Linked DNA regions of Arabidopsis thaliana. The protein of the gene in region 1 purifies or fractionates together with the protein of each later gene. This does not show direct contact. Each region holds a gene or a part of one and is shown in the gene's direction. Other genes may lie near its edges. The genes, in order: DCL4 and PRL1.

Region 1 (4,945 bases):
AGCTAGACAAAACCACTAAGCAAATAATTATAATTTTCTTTTTGCATGTTTGAAGTGTTGATATATAACGGTGCTAGCCAACATTTCCAATGTTGTAATGTTTTATAAAGCTTGATGAGAATTAAGAAGATGTTTATAAAAGAATCACATTTCCAATGATATTCACTCGGTATAGGTATATAACGACGTACTCATTTGTACTAATATTAAAAAGTTCTCGATAATAATCTTTTTTATTTTTAAATGCAAGACTTGCACCAACTTTCTCTATAATGGATAAAAGGTCGATGAATGATATTTTAGGGTTGACTAATTTGTTATACGATGATACAATCGAGTTTTATCCGATTATTACTATGGTAGTAAATAACGCGGTCAAATGTGGTCGAACCGAACTGGTGACGATCATAACATCAAATGTGGTCGAACCGAGTGACGATCAAAATATCAACATATGTGGTCGAACGACTGAAAACCAAACTAGCCAAAAACACACATCAACTTTTTTCGGTTTGGCTTAGTTACCCTAGAAGATTACCCTCAAACAAACAAAACCCAAAAAAATTAAAATATTAATTTTAAAATAGAAGAAACATATTTTAAGAAAAAGTCATTTCTTTTAATTGTTACTTTAGTTTTGGACACTACAAGCTGACCGAGTAGTCCAACATTCGATATGAAAGAAAGTGGCTCACTGCCTATATAGCTCTCGCCACTGGGAGAATACAAGGTTCGATCCTAGATTTTGATGGAATGTCAACCAAGATTCATAATTTGTGCACTTGTTTTTTCCCCATAATTTCTTAGTTAAAGGTACATCAATATAAATTTTAAGTAGTCAAGTGTGTCCAATCAACAAAAGGTAAATCTATAAAAATTTGGAAATTTATCAAAATGAATCAATGTAATGTTGTATAATATGGAAAAATATGTAGTTTAGATGTTTTTACTTTATAATACTTATCATTGCTGCATCACCACTCATATTAAAAATGACTAAATAAATACTCAAGTATGTGTTAACCTCATAAAAATGAAATGAGGTTAAACTTCTGCAATTTCACATATGGTAAATTGTTTCTAGAGCTAAAAGACCTGCAACAAGGTGATTCAATCTTCTTCTTCGACATTTAACAAGTCGGAAGTTCATGCTACAAATATCAGTACAAAAAATCATACTCTATCCATTTCAAATTAAATTTAGTTCAAGTGTATACGTAAATTTAAAAAATGAACGCATTTTAGATTTTCAAAATCTGAGATCAAATACCTAATTTAACCTTATCAAAATCAAGAGTCATCTAGATTGTAAGGGTATAATAGAAATTATAATGTTTTTAATAATTTTTTGTAAAAATTTTAAATGACACTTAAAGTAAAACGGAGAGAAGATAACTTAACAGCCACGAAATCGCGACTTGAGATTTCAAAGAGATAAAGTATTCATCTATGTACTTTGGCACATCAATACTCTTAAAATTTACCAAAATATGTAATATAACATCCCTAACCATCAACAACAATCAACATAAATTTTAATATATATGTTTTTGTAATTTTCGTAAAAATGTTAAAACAACACTTATAGTAAAACAAAGAGAGGATAACTTAACAGCCAAAGAATTGAGATTTGAGATTTCGAAGAGATAAGATATTCATCTATATATCTTGACACATCAGCACTCTAAAAATTTACCAAAAGATGTATTTTAAAATCTCTAAACTCAATAACTCCACAAAAATTTTCAGAATCAATGATTGTAGAAACACATGATTTCTGGTTCAGAATTTCACACACTCCACCCAAAAAAATACCCTTAAAAAGTTATAATTGTATTGATTAGCTGATAAAATCAATTTATTGGAAAGAAATCCTAATAATAACGCTGTAATAGAAGAGAAGAGAAGAGAGAGGGAGACGTGAGATCGTGAATTATGCGTGACGAAGTTGACTTGAGCTTGACCATTCCCTCGAAGCTTTTGGGGAAGCGAGACAGAGAACAAAAAAATTGTGAAGAAGAAAAAAACAAAAACAAAAAAGCTAAAAAGCAGCAAAAGGACCCAATTCTTCTTCACACTAGTGCTGCCACTCACAAGTTTCTTCCTCCTCCTTTGACCATGCCGTACAGTGAAATCGGCGACGATCTTCGCTCACTCGACTTTGACCACGCCGATGTTTCTTCCGACCTTCACCTCACTTCTTCTTCCTCTGTTTCTTCGTTTTCCTCTTCTTCGTCTTCTTTGTTCTCCGCGGCTGGTACGGATGATCCTTCACCGAAAATGGAGAAAGACCCTAGAAAAATCGCCAGGAGGTTCGATTTTTTCTCGTCTTTGCCAACACTTTTCATAGCTCGCATTATCTTCGGTTTTGCTTTGCTTCCTTGCTTACGATTTTGTACGGATGGTATTTTATCGATTCTGTTGTTGTATCGGATTGTCTTTAGGGAAAGATCGCGACGAGTTTTTTTTGTTTGTGTGTGTTGCTTGTGGTGAAATTCGTTTTTGAGAAGGCTTAATGATTTTGTTTCGCTGTATGAAGGTATCAGGTGGAGCTGTGTAAGAAAGCAACGGAGGAGAACGTTATTGTATATTTGGGTACAGGTTGTGGGAAGACTCACATTGCAGTGATGCTTATATATGAGCTTGGTCATTTGGTTCTTAGTCCCAAGAAAAGTGTTTGTATTTTTCTTGCTCCCACCGTGGCTTTGGTCGAACAGGTGTGAGGCTGTTCATCTTGATTATATGTCGGTGTTTAATGCGGATTGATTAGTTCTAACTGTCTTGAGTTTGTTGTTGTTTACAGCAAGCCAAGGTCATAGCGGACTCTGTCAACTTCAAAGTTGCAATACATTGTGGAGGCAAGAGGATTGTGAAGAGCCACTCGGAGTGGGAGAGAGAGATTGCAGCGAATGAGGTGATTTCCTGTTTTCTCATTCTATTTTTAGCCTATGAGACTCATTTAAGTTGATTGTTATTTCCATTTTACAATTATGTAGGAACCATCACTTTATTATATGCGATCTTCTTTCAATTGTTTGTTTTGTTCTTGGGACTGAATTTTCCTGCAGGTTCTTGTTATGACTCCACAAATACTTCTGCATAACTTACAGCACTGTTTCATCAAGATGGAGTGTATCTCCCTTCTAATATTTGATGAGTGTCACCATGCTCAACAACAAAGCAACCATCCTTATGCAGAAATCATGAAGGTATCTTCCTTCACATTATTGGTATATCGTGCTTGAAATATTATTAACATATAATCAACTTTTAGTTGCTCCACTTTGTTGCAAATGCAGGTTTTCTATAAATCGGAAAGTTTACAACGGCCTCGAATATTTGGAATGACTGCATCTCCAGTTGTTGGCAAAGGTAGGCCCATTTTTCTAATGGTGACTATGGATTGCTGGTCCATTACTGTCCAAAGATTTTATTATGATTTAGCTTCTGCATTGAGTTCCTTTTGTTCGTTCTCTTTCGGTTGTGAGGTTTGTCGTGATCTTGATAATACATGTTTACTTTTGATCATCTCGTTCTATAGATGGTCCACCTCTTGACAGCTTTACCTACTTTTCAGGGTCTTTTCAATCAGAGAATTTATCGAAAAGCATTAATAGCCTTGAAAATTTGCTCAATGCCAAGGTATGCTGGTTCTGAAATTCCCTTGGTTGGCTGTTGGCAGATGAACTTAGAACACATTTTTGGTATTTAAGTAGCAAGATATCTTTCCTAGAATTGAATACTGCCGGCTTATTTATATTGAGCCCTATCACGCTGTGTTTTGGGTGATACCAAAGTAGAAATAATACTCTGAGAAAGCTTGAATCTTTTGTTTTTTTTGGTATTTTCGGCCCAAGCTTATGGTACCAAACTAATCATTTATTGGAAGTCTAAGGCAGAAATATCTTTCTCATGTTTAGATTCGTACTAATGTTCTTACATTCAGTTGGTCTTTCGAAACAATGTTCTAAAATTTCCCTTTTTGTCTCTCGTGATCTGAAAGGTTTATTCAGTGGAAAGCAATGTCCAGCTGGATGGTTTTGTTTCATCTCCTTTAGTCAAAGTATATTATTATCGGTCAGCTTTAAGTGATGCATCTCAATCGACCATCAGATATGAAAACATGCTGGAGGACATCAAACAGCGGGTTGTCTAAATGTGTCTCATAAATCTTTTGAATCACTGTTCCTCGATATATGAGCTTATATTTCTTCCTGATATGAACAGTGCTTGGCATCACTTAAGCTGCTGATTGATACTCATCAAACACAAACCCTCCTAAGTATGAAAAGGCTTCTCAAAAGATCTCATGATAATCTCATATATACTCTGCTGAATCTTGGCCTCTGGGGAGCAATACAGGTAGAAATTTCATACTGAACCAATTTATAGATTTGATATCAGGTTTTCAGTTTTTGCTTTCAGATGTATTGATTACCTTGTATTTCCTGGTTTCTTCAATGTTTTACCAAGCAGCTGATGCATGTTTTAGGGTACAGTTATTACCATAATTGCCAACTATATTAAACTTTTGCATTAGTAGTGTACTAGATCGAAGTCAAAGACTACAATGACTGGCAAGATTCACAATAGCTGTACAATAGGGAAAAAGTGGAAAACAAATAAGGGTTTCTGTTAGATGCTTGCTGAATTGTATAAAAATTCCTAGAGATTTTTTTTGGTAAATTTATGTGCATGTTTCTATAATTTGTTACAACCATCTAACCTCGATATGTAAACTTACCTCTTTGCCAAATTAAAATTATGTATGTTGTTTCTTGTTGGTGTCATATGTGTCTTAATGCATGTTGTAGCGTGCTAATGTTTATTGTCTTCGTTTTTTGGAGGCTGCTAAAATCCAATTGAATAGTGACCATAATGTACAAGACGAGCCTGTGGGAAAGAATCCTAAGTCAAAGATATGTGATACATATCTTTCTATGGC
Region 2 (6,497 bases), on another chromosome or scaffold:
GCCACATTCGCCAAGTTATGTGCAGAGATCCTCGCAGCTGCTTCTGATGGAATGCTCAACATAGAAGATGTCACTGGTCAATCAGTTCTACAGGTAACTTCCAAAATGGCTACAGAGCCTTTTTTCTTCTTGTGATTGCCGATTTTTAACTCGTTTTGTCTCGGTGTAGGATGCGTTTCAGATCTTGGCGTGCAAAGAGATCCGTTTATCAGTTTCCAGAGGAGCATCGTCGGAGACAGCAGATATAGAGGAAGAAGGTGGAGATGCAGCAACTGCAAAAGGAAGGGCCATAACGCACGCTGTTAGAAAAGGTTTGATTCAGAACACGATTCCAATCTTCATTGAGCTCAAGAGGCTATTGGAGAGCAAGAACAGTCCTCTCACAGGTTCGCTCATGGACTGCCTCCGTGTCCTCCTCAAAGACTACAAGAACGAGATCGAAGAAATGCTTGTCGCTGACAAACAGCTTCAGAAAGAGCTTGTTTACGATATGCAGAAGCACGAGGCTGCAAAGGCAAGGTCCATGGCTAACCAAGGGGTTGCCTGCGGGACAAGTCATAGAAACGGTGAACCTGAAGCATCAGCAGCAAGCGAGGAGAATGTTAGAGATTCGGGATTGGAATCAAGAGTGGTTTCTGCGGCTGCTGATGTGGTGGCGGCTAAGGCAGCTAGGTCGGTGTTGAGAGAAGTGAACGGTGGAGCTGCAACGCCGCCTCTGAGCGCAATGAGTGTTCCGAAGCTAAGGTCGAGCCGTGGAGTTAGCCAGAGTGGTCGACCATCAGCTGATGTGTTGGAGTCTCTGAGAAGAAGACCAACTTTCATGTCTGATGATGAGAGTTAGAACTTAAAAATGAGACTGTAGAAAATAGCTTTTGCTGTAAATGCATGACTTCGATTTTTCTTTTTGGGAGATTAGATCGAGACTCTATTAAAGTCTAAATCGTATTTATAAACCGCATAAGACACTAAAACCTGGTGTGTGTGTGTGTGTGCGCGCATTTGTTTGCTTGCTCATGTTTGTCCTTGTGTGATAAATCCATCCCTGCCCTCAAATTGATTTATGTGTTGTATGTGTTGATTTTAGTGATAACATCTCAAAGTGATTAAATATTTTCAAAAATGCTATTTGATGTCTATAACGGCTTTAAAACTTTTGCAAGTTCATTAGAGCTATCTCTAGCACATATATGGCGCTTAGAGATGTTACGAATATGTAAGACTGATTACATATCTCTTTGGCTTAATAAATATAAGTATTTGTGTTGAACTCTTTATCTTCTTCTTGAAGATGTCTTATGGGAAACATGTTAAATGGATAGTAAATGAGAGATTCGAAAATATAGTGTGAGCTTCCTTCTTTGGTTTATGCATTCTCCATGTGGGGGGCAAGGTTTTTGAAGATTTATACTTTTGTGGCAAATCTCTTGTTTGAATACTCCATGGGAGTCTCTCATCAAAACTATGCTGCAAAATATTTGAAAATTTATAAATCTATTGTCTTTGAGAAAGTGTTACAAAATTTATGACCTCAATAATATTGCATGAAAACTTTCATACATCATTTGGTATATGTATGTTTAAGAAAAGGTAAAACCGTAATTATAAAGAGAAAGAAAATACAATATCTTAATACATATCAATCTAATTACTCATTAACCATATTAAGAAAATATGTGTCTTTATTTTTTCCTTTTAACATAAAGCTTAAAAAGAAGATTTGTAGCCAGAAAAATTAATTGTGTTCATTTCCCTTTTAAAAGAATTTTTCGGCGCAACAAAATCGTGAAATTGATATAAATAAACTCGAGATTATTAATATAACCCTTTTTCACTTCACTTCTCTTTCTCTCTAAACCCTAAAAGAAGAACGATGCCGGCTCCGACGACGGAGATCGAACCCATCGAAGCACAGTCACTGAAAAAGCTCAGTCTCAAATCCCTCAAACGATCACTTGAACTCTTCTCTCCCGTCCATGGCCAATTCCCTCCTCCTGACCCGGAAGCGTTAGTCTTCTTCGATCCCCAATTTTCGATTCGAATCTTCATTTTCTTCACTAAGTTTTTATGATTTCTTCGTTTTTTTTTTTTTTTTTTGCAGCAAGCAGATTCGTCTCAGCCATAAGGTAAAACATTGAGTCTCTCTTACCAGTCTTTAGAAATTTATTTCAGTTATTCGCTTTTAATGTCTATTGATTGGATTTTGGTTTAAAGCTTCGAACTTTAGGTTTATTCAGGTTTTTCCATAATTGTTCTAAATCTTCAGGTTTTGTTACCAATAATAGTAAAGATGGTTGATTTACTTAGACTCTCTCTCTCTCTCTGTTGTGTATGTTACTGATTTTAGAAGTTTTCTTTGTACAGATGAAAGTTGCGTTTGGAGGTGTAGAACCTGTTGTGAGTCAACCTCCACGTCAACCTGACCGCATCAATGAGCAGCCAGGACCTTCAAATGCTCTTTCCCTCGCAGGTGTTTTTCATATCACTATGTCTTGGTGAAAGATAAAAACTTGTTTCTTGTTTGCTATTTGCATTCTTATTTGTATTGGAAGGGATAAAATCATCTGCTTGATGAATTCTGCAGCTCCTGAAGGGTCTAAGAGTACGCAAAAGGGTGCGACAGAGAGTGCTATTGTTGTTGGTCCAACTTTACTGCGTCCAATACTGCCTAAAGGCTTGTAAGTGTTATCTTTTGTTGTTGGTTTCGTTGATCTGAATGCTAATTGATGGTTCTACTTTATCGTGAGGATGCTCATAAAAGAATTCGGTTCTCGAATTGAAGGAACTATACAGGTTCCTCAGGGAAGAGCACCACCATTATACCTGCAAATGTATCTTCATATCAAAGGTTTTTTTCTCGTCCTCATACTTGCTTTTCTTTATCTGGATTGCAATACATTAATGGCAGCTCTAGGTAGTGTAGGTAGTTCATGGGCATGCAAATTAGACTTCCCCCAATCTGAATTTTTTTGGTTTGTCCTTATAATGTAGCTTCTAATTCTGATTCCTTTTTTGTTGTTGCGTTCCTTTGCGTGTTACAGAAATCTGTCAACTGCTGCATTAATGGAGAGAATACCAAGTAGATGGCCCCGGCCAGAGTGGCATGCACCATGGAAGAATTACAGGGTAAAATCCGTGGCTCAGCATTGTTGCTGCATCATACGGATTTTGGTCTTTTGTTGGTCTCCAAAAAACTCTGGTTTGAGGAGTTACTTAACTTACGATTAATTATTCTTTTCACAGGTCATTCAGGGGCACTTGGGTTGGGTCAGATCTGTTGCGTTTGACCCGAGTAATGAATGGTTTTGTACTGGTTCAGCTGATCGTACCATCAAGGTAGCAGAGATGATTGCTTATTCAATATGAATTGTATTTTTTCGAATATGTTTTCTTGTTATACTTATAAGTCATGATACAAGACTTCCCTTCTATGGCTAGTTACTGGAGCTTAGTTTAGTGCATTGCCAAAAATCCACTACTTTGGCGATTGTAGAAGCAGTTCCGACTTTGGTATGTTTACTGAATTTATTACTTGTGTTTTATTCACTAGATATGGGATGTAGCAACTGGAGTTCTGAAGCTAACACTTACTGGGCATATCGAGCAAGTACGAGGTTAGCCTTTCAAATCTGTTCTCGTTTATTAATATTTGTTAGACTTTTCAATAAATAACACTCTCGGGACAAGTTACAAGTTTGGGCTCTTTTGTTTTGAATTTTGTTACAGGCCTCGCTGTAAGCAATCGACATACCTATATGTTCTCTGCTGGTGATGACAAGCAAGTCAAATGCTGGGACCTTGAGCAGAATAAGGTTACAACTCTATTCTCTTCATTATCTGGATTTCTCATATCTAATGCTCTTGGAATTTTTGATTTGATAGGTTATCCGATCTTATCATGGTCACTTGAGTGGTGTCTATTGCTTAGCTCTGCACCCAACTTTGGATGTTTTATTAACTGGGGGGCGAGACTCTGTCTGCAGGGTAAGGCAAAAATATTTATATCCATATTTATATATCTTCTCGTTTGAATTCTTGCACTTTGCTGGATTTGTAGTTTAAAAGTCCATGTTTACTTATTTGCAGGTGTGGGATATTCGTACCAAGATGCAAATTTTTGCACTCTCAGGACATGACAACACCGTTTGTTCTGTATTTACTCGTCCAACAGTAAGTCTCTTTTAATATGGACTTGTTGTTATGGTTTTTGGATTTCTTGCTGAATCTTTTTATAATAGTAACTGGAACTCACTTTGATCTGTGTTGTTGCAGGACCCACAAGTTGTCACCGGATCCCATGACACGACCATTAAATTTTGGGACCTTCGATATGGTATATCTTATCATTGTAACCATTGTTTGGACTTAAAATCCATATTATTTAAATCCTTCCTTATTTGATTATCAGTTGCTGCAAATATATGGTTTCATTTGAATAATGCTGTATTATTATTATATGCAGGAAAAACAATGTCAACGCTAACACATCATAAGAAATCTGTCCGAGCAATGACCCTCCATCCTAAAGAGTATGTGTAGTCGTACTGAATCTACTTTTGTGTATCGTGCTGAATCTACTTTATCTTTCCAATAGCGAAGTCTTTGCACCTAAACTTTTCCTTTATGTTATCTCTTTAATTTTCTTTTTAGGAATGCCTTTGCTTCTGCATCAGCTGACAACACCAAGAAATTTAGCCTTCCAAAGGGAGAGTTCTGCCACAACATGCTGTAAGTCTCTGCTAGATAATTATATACTTTGCATCTCCAGTGCTTTTGAAATAGGAGCTGTCATTATTAATTATGTAATTGATGTGTTTGAACAATGTTTATCTTTTTCCATGGAAAAGTTCGCAACAGAAAACCATAATTAATGCAATGGCTGTAAACGAGGATGGTGTGATGGTCACTGGAGGTATATAATCATTTCTGATTCCTTTCGTCCCTGTGATTGTTTTCCTTTGATAGTAAAATGGGTGAGACATAATCATTTTCAACTGAAACTGATTCTATATATGTGTGAATGAAGGTGATAATGGAAGTATATGGTTCTGGGACTGGAAGAGTGGTCACAGTTTCCAACAGTCAGAAACTATCGTACAGCCTGGTACGTACATTTATAGCTTTCATGGTCTTTTGCTCCTGATCTCCTTGTTATGGTAAGATGTAGAAGTCTCGGTATGTTCATACAACGTAGTCAAGTTTGAACCCTGGTAAAGACTCAAATGTTAGAAGTGTATGATACTATGATTGAGCTCTAGGGAAACCAAGAAAGTTGACGTAGGTTTATGGTTTATGTAAATGCCTATAGCGTCGTCTTACAAGCAAATAGTAAATGGGTCTTTAATTGGATGTGGTTGGGCATATGGCAGGTTCCCTGGAGAGTGAAGCGGGTATATATGCAGCGTGTTATGATAATACAGGTTCAAGATTGGTAACATGCGAGGCTGATAAGACGATAAAGATGTGGAAAGAAGATGAGAATGCAACTCCAGAAACTCATCCTATCAATTTCAAACCACCAAAGGAGATTAGGCGCTTCTAAATAACTTGTATCTGTAACTCAAAGCTCTTGTTGGAATCTCACTAATCTCTTCATGATTCTGTTTCCTAGATCAACTTTTGAGAGGGGACCTTTGTTTTGTGGTGGGGAGGAAACAAAAGGCCATGTACTTTATGTATTTTAAGGGCATTTGTAATTTTTTCTATCAACAATAATAGATCATGTATTGTTGTTTATGTTGAGAGAACTTTGTTACTTTTATCTCCCGTCTCTTGATTCTCTTCGTTAGTACTTATCGAAGATCTATCATGATTTCTGTGCAACCAAATCTGTGAAGTTTTGTAGGACGAATCTAAGTATTTGATCAACAACTTATATCTCTAGTCTCCACCACTGAAAGTTTTCAGCCTAAATTTTGGCTCGGGTTGTTTGGTTTATGAAGCTTTTATAGTGTAACTACACAGCTGATACGAAGAAACCAAGTGTAAAAACAAAACAGCTGATACGAAGAAACCAAGTGTAAAAACAAAAGAAAATATTGAAATAGTAAACAATTTGAATGGAAAAGATCCACTAAAAAGAGACGGTGATGGTGAGCTCGTTTGCGCGAAGACACCTGTGTGTTGGTTTTGCAATACGTAAGTGACACGTTCTAGTTATCATCATTCAGATCTCACCGACCTCTTCTGATCTTTTGTACCAAAGTATACTTGTTTATTCGCAGATCTTTTGTAGACTTTTCACCTTTTTAACTGCCAGTATCGTTTAGTGGAAGACGTACATTGGTTTTTACGTCTTCTATTTCTTTCAATTCAATCATCAAACTATCAAAGCATCAAACTATCATAGCTTTCTCACTAGTCACTTGTGGGTTTCTCGAAAACAGGCAAAAACATAAATAAAACCCCCCAAAAAAATGAATTAGCCATTTACTATTTTCACATTTCAGTTTTTAACCTTACTTTGGCAGTAAGTATGAGCAGTGGGTCCACAGTAAGGC

Evidence for each region.
Region 2: the proteins of DCL4 (region 1) and PRL1 purify together in Arabidopsis thaliana (affinity purification with western blotting, with the first as the bait; one study listed by BioGRID). This does not show direct contact.

What each region holds. Positions count from the first base shown.
Region 1 is NC_003076.8:6,866,059-6,871,003, reverse strand, and holds the start of DCL4 (dicer-like 4), read left to right. Parts: upstream 1-1,737; 5' UTR 1,738-1,935; coding exon 1,936-2,312; intron 2,313-2,539; coding exon 2,540-2,717; intron 2,718-2,803; coding exon 2,804-2,914; intron 2,915-3,037; exon of another isoform or gene 3,038-3,068; coding exon 3,069-3,209; intron 3,210-3,299; coding exon 3,300-3,372; intron 3,373-3,577; coding exon 3,578-3,642; intron 3,643-4,003; coding exon 4,004-4,147; intron 4,148-4,227; coding exon 4,228-4,362; intron 4,363-4,847; coding exon 4,848-4,945. UniProt on the Arabidopsis thaliana protein: Ribonuclease (RNase) III involved in RNA-mediated post-transcriptional gene silencing (PTGS).
Region 2 is NC_003075.7:9,021,905-9,028,401, forward strand, and holds PRL1 (pleiotropic regulatory locus 1), read left to right. Parts: upstream 1-1,761; 5' UTR 1,762-1,870; coding exon 1,871-2,004; intron 2,005-2,098; coding exon 2,099-2,123; intron 2,124-2,361; coding exon 2,362-2,467; intron 2,468-2,581; coding exon 2,582-2,675; intron 2,676-2,779; coding exon 2,780-2,845; intron 2,846-3,038; coding exon 3,039-3,123; intron 3,124-3,240; coding exon 3,241-3,333; intron 3,334-3,547; coding exon 3,548-3,611; intron 3,612-3,723; coding exon 3,724-3,809; intron 3,810-3,879; coding exon 3,880-3,981; intron 3,982-4,083; coding exon 4,084-4,167; intron 4,168-4,269; coding exon 4,270-4,330; intron 4,331-4,459; coding exon 4,460-4,526; intron 4,527-4,647; coding exon 4,648-4,725; intron 4,726-4,844; coding exon 4,845-4,909; intron 4,910-5,023; coding exon 5,024-5,101; intron 5,102-5,366; coding exon 5,367-5,539; 3' UTR 5,540-5,904; downstream 5,905-6,497. Other genes in the region: AT4G15890 (binding protein), read left to right, coding at 1-93, 170-841. UniProt on the Arabidopsis thaliana protein: Pleiotropic regulator of glucose, stress and hormone responses. Also regulates cytochrome P450 CYP90A1/CPD.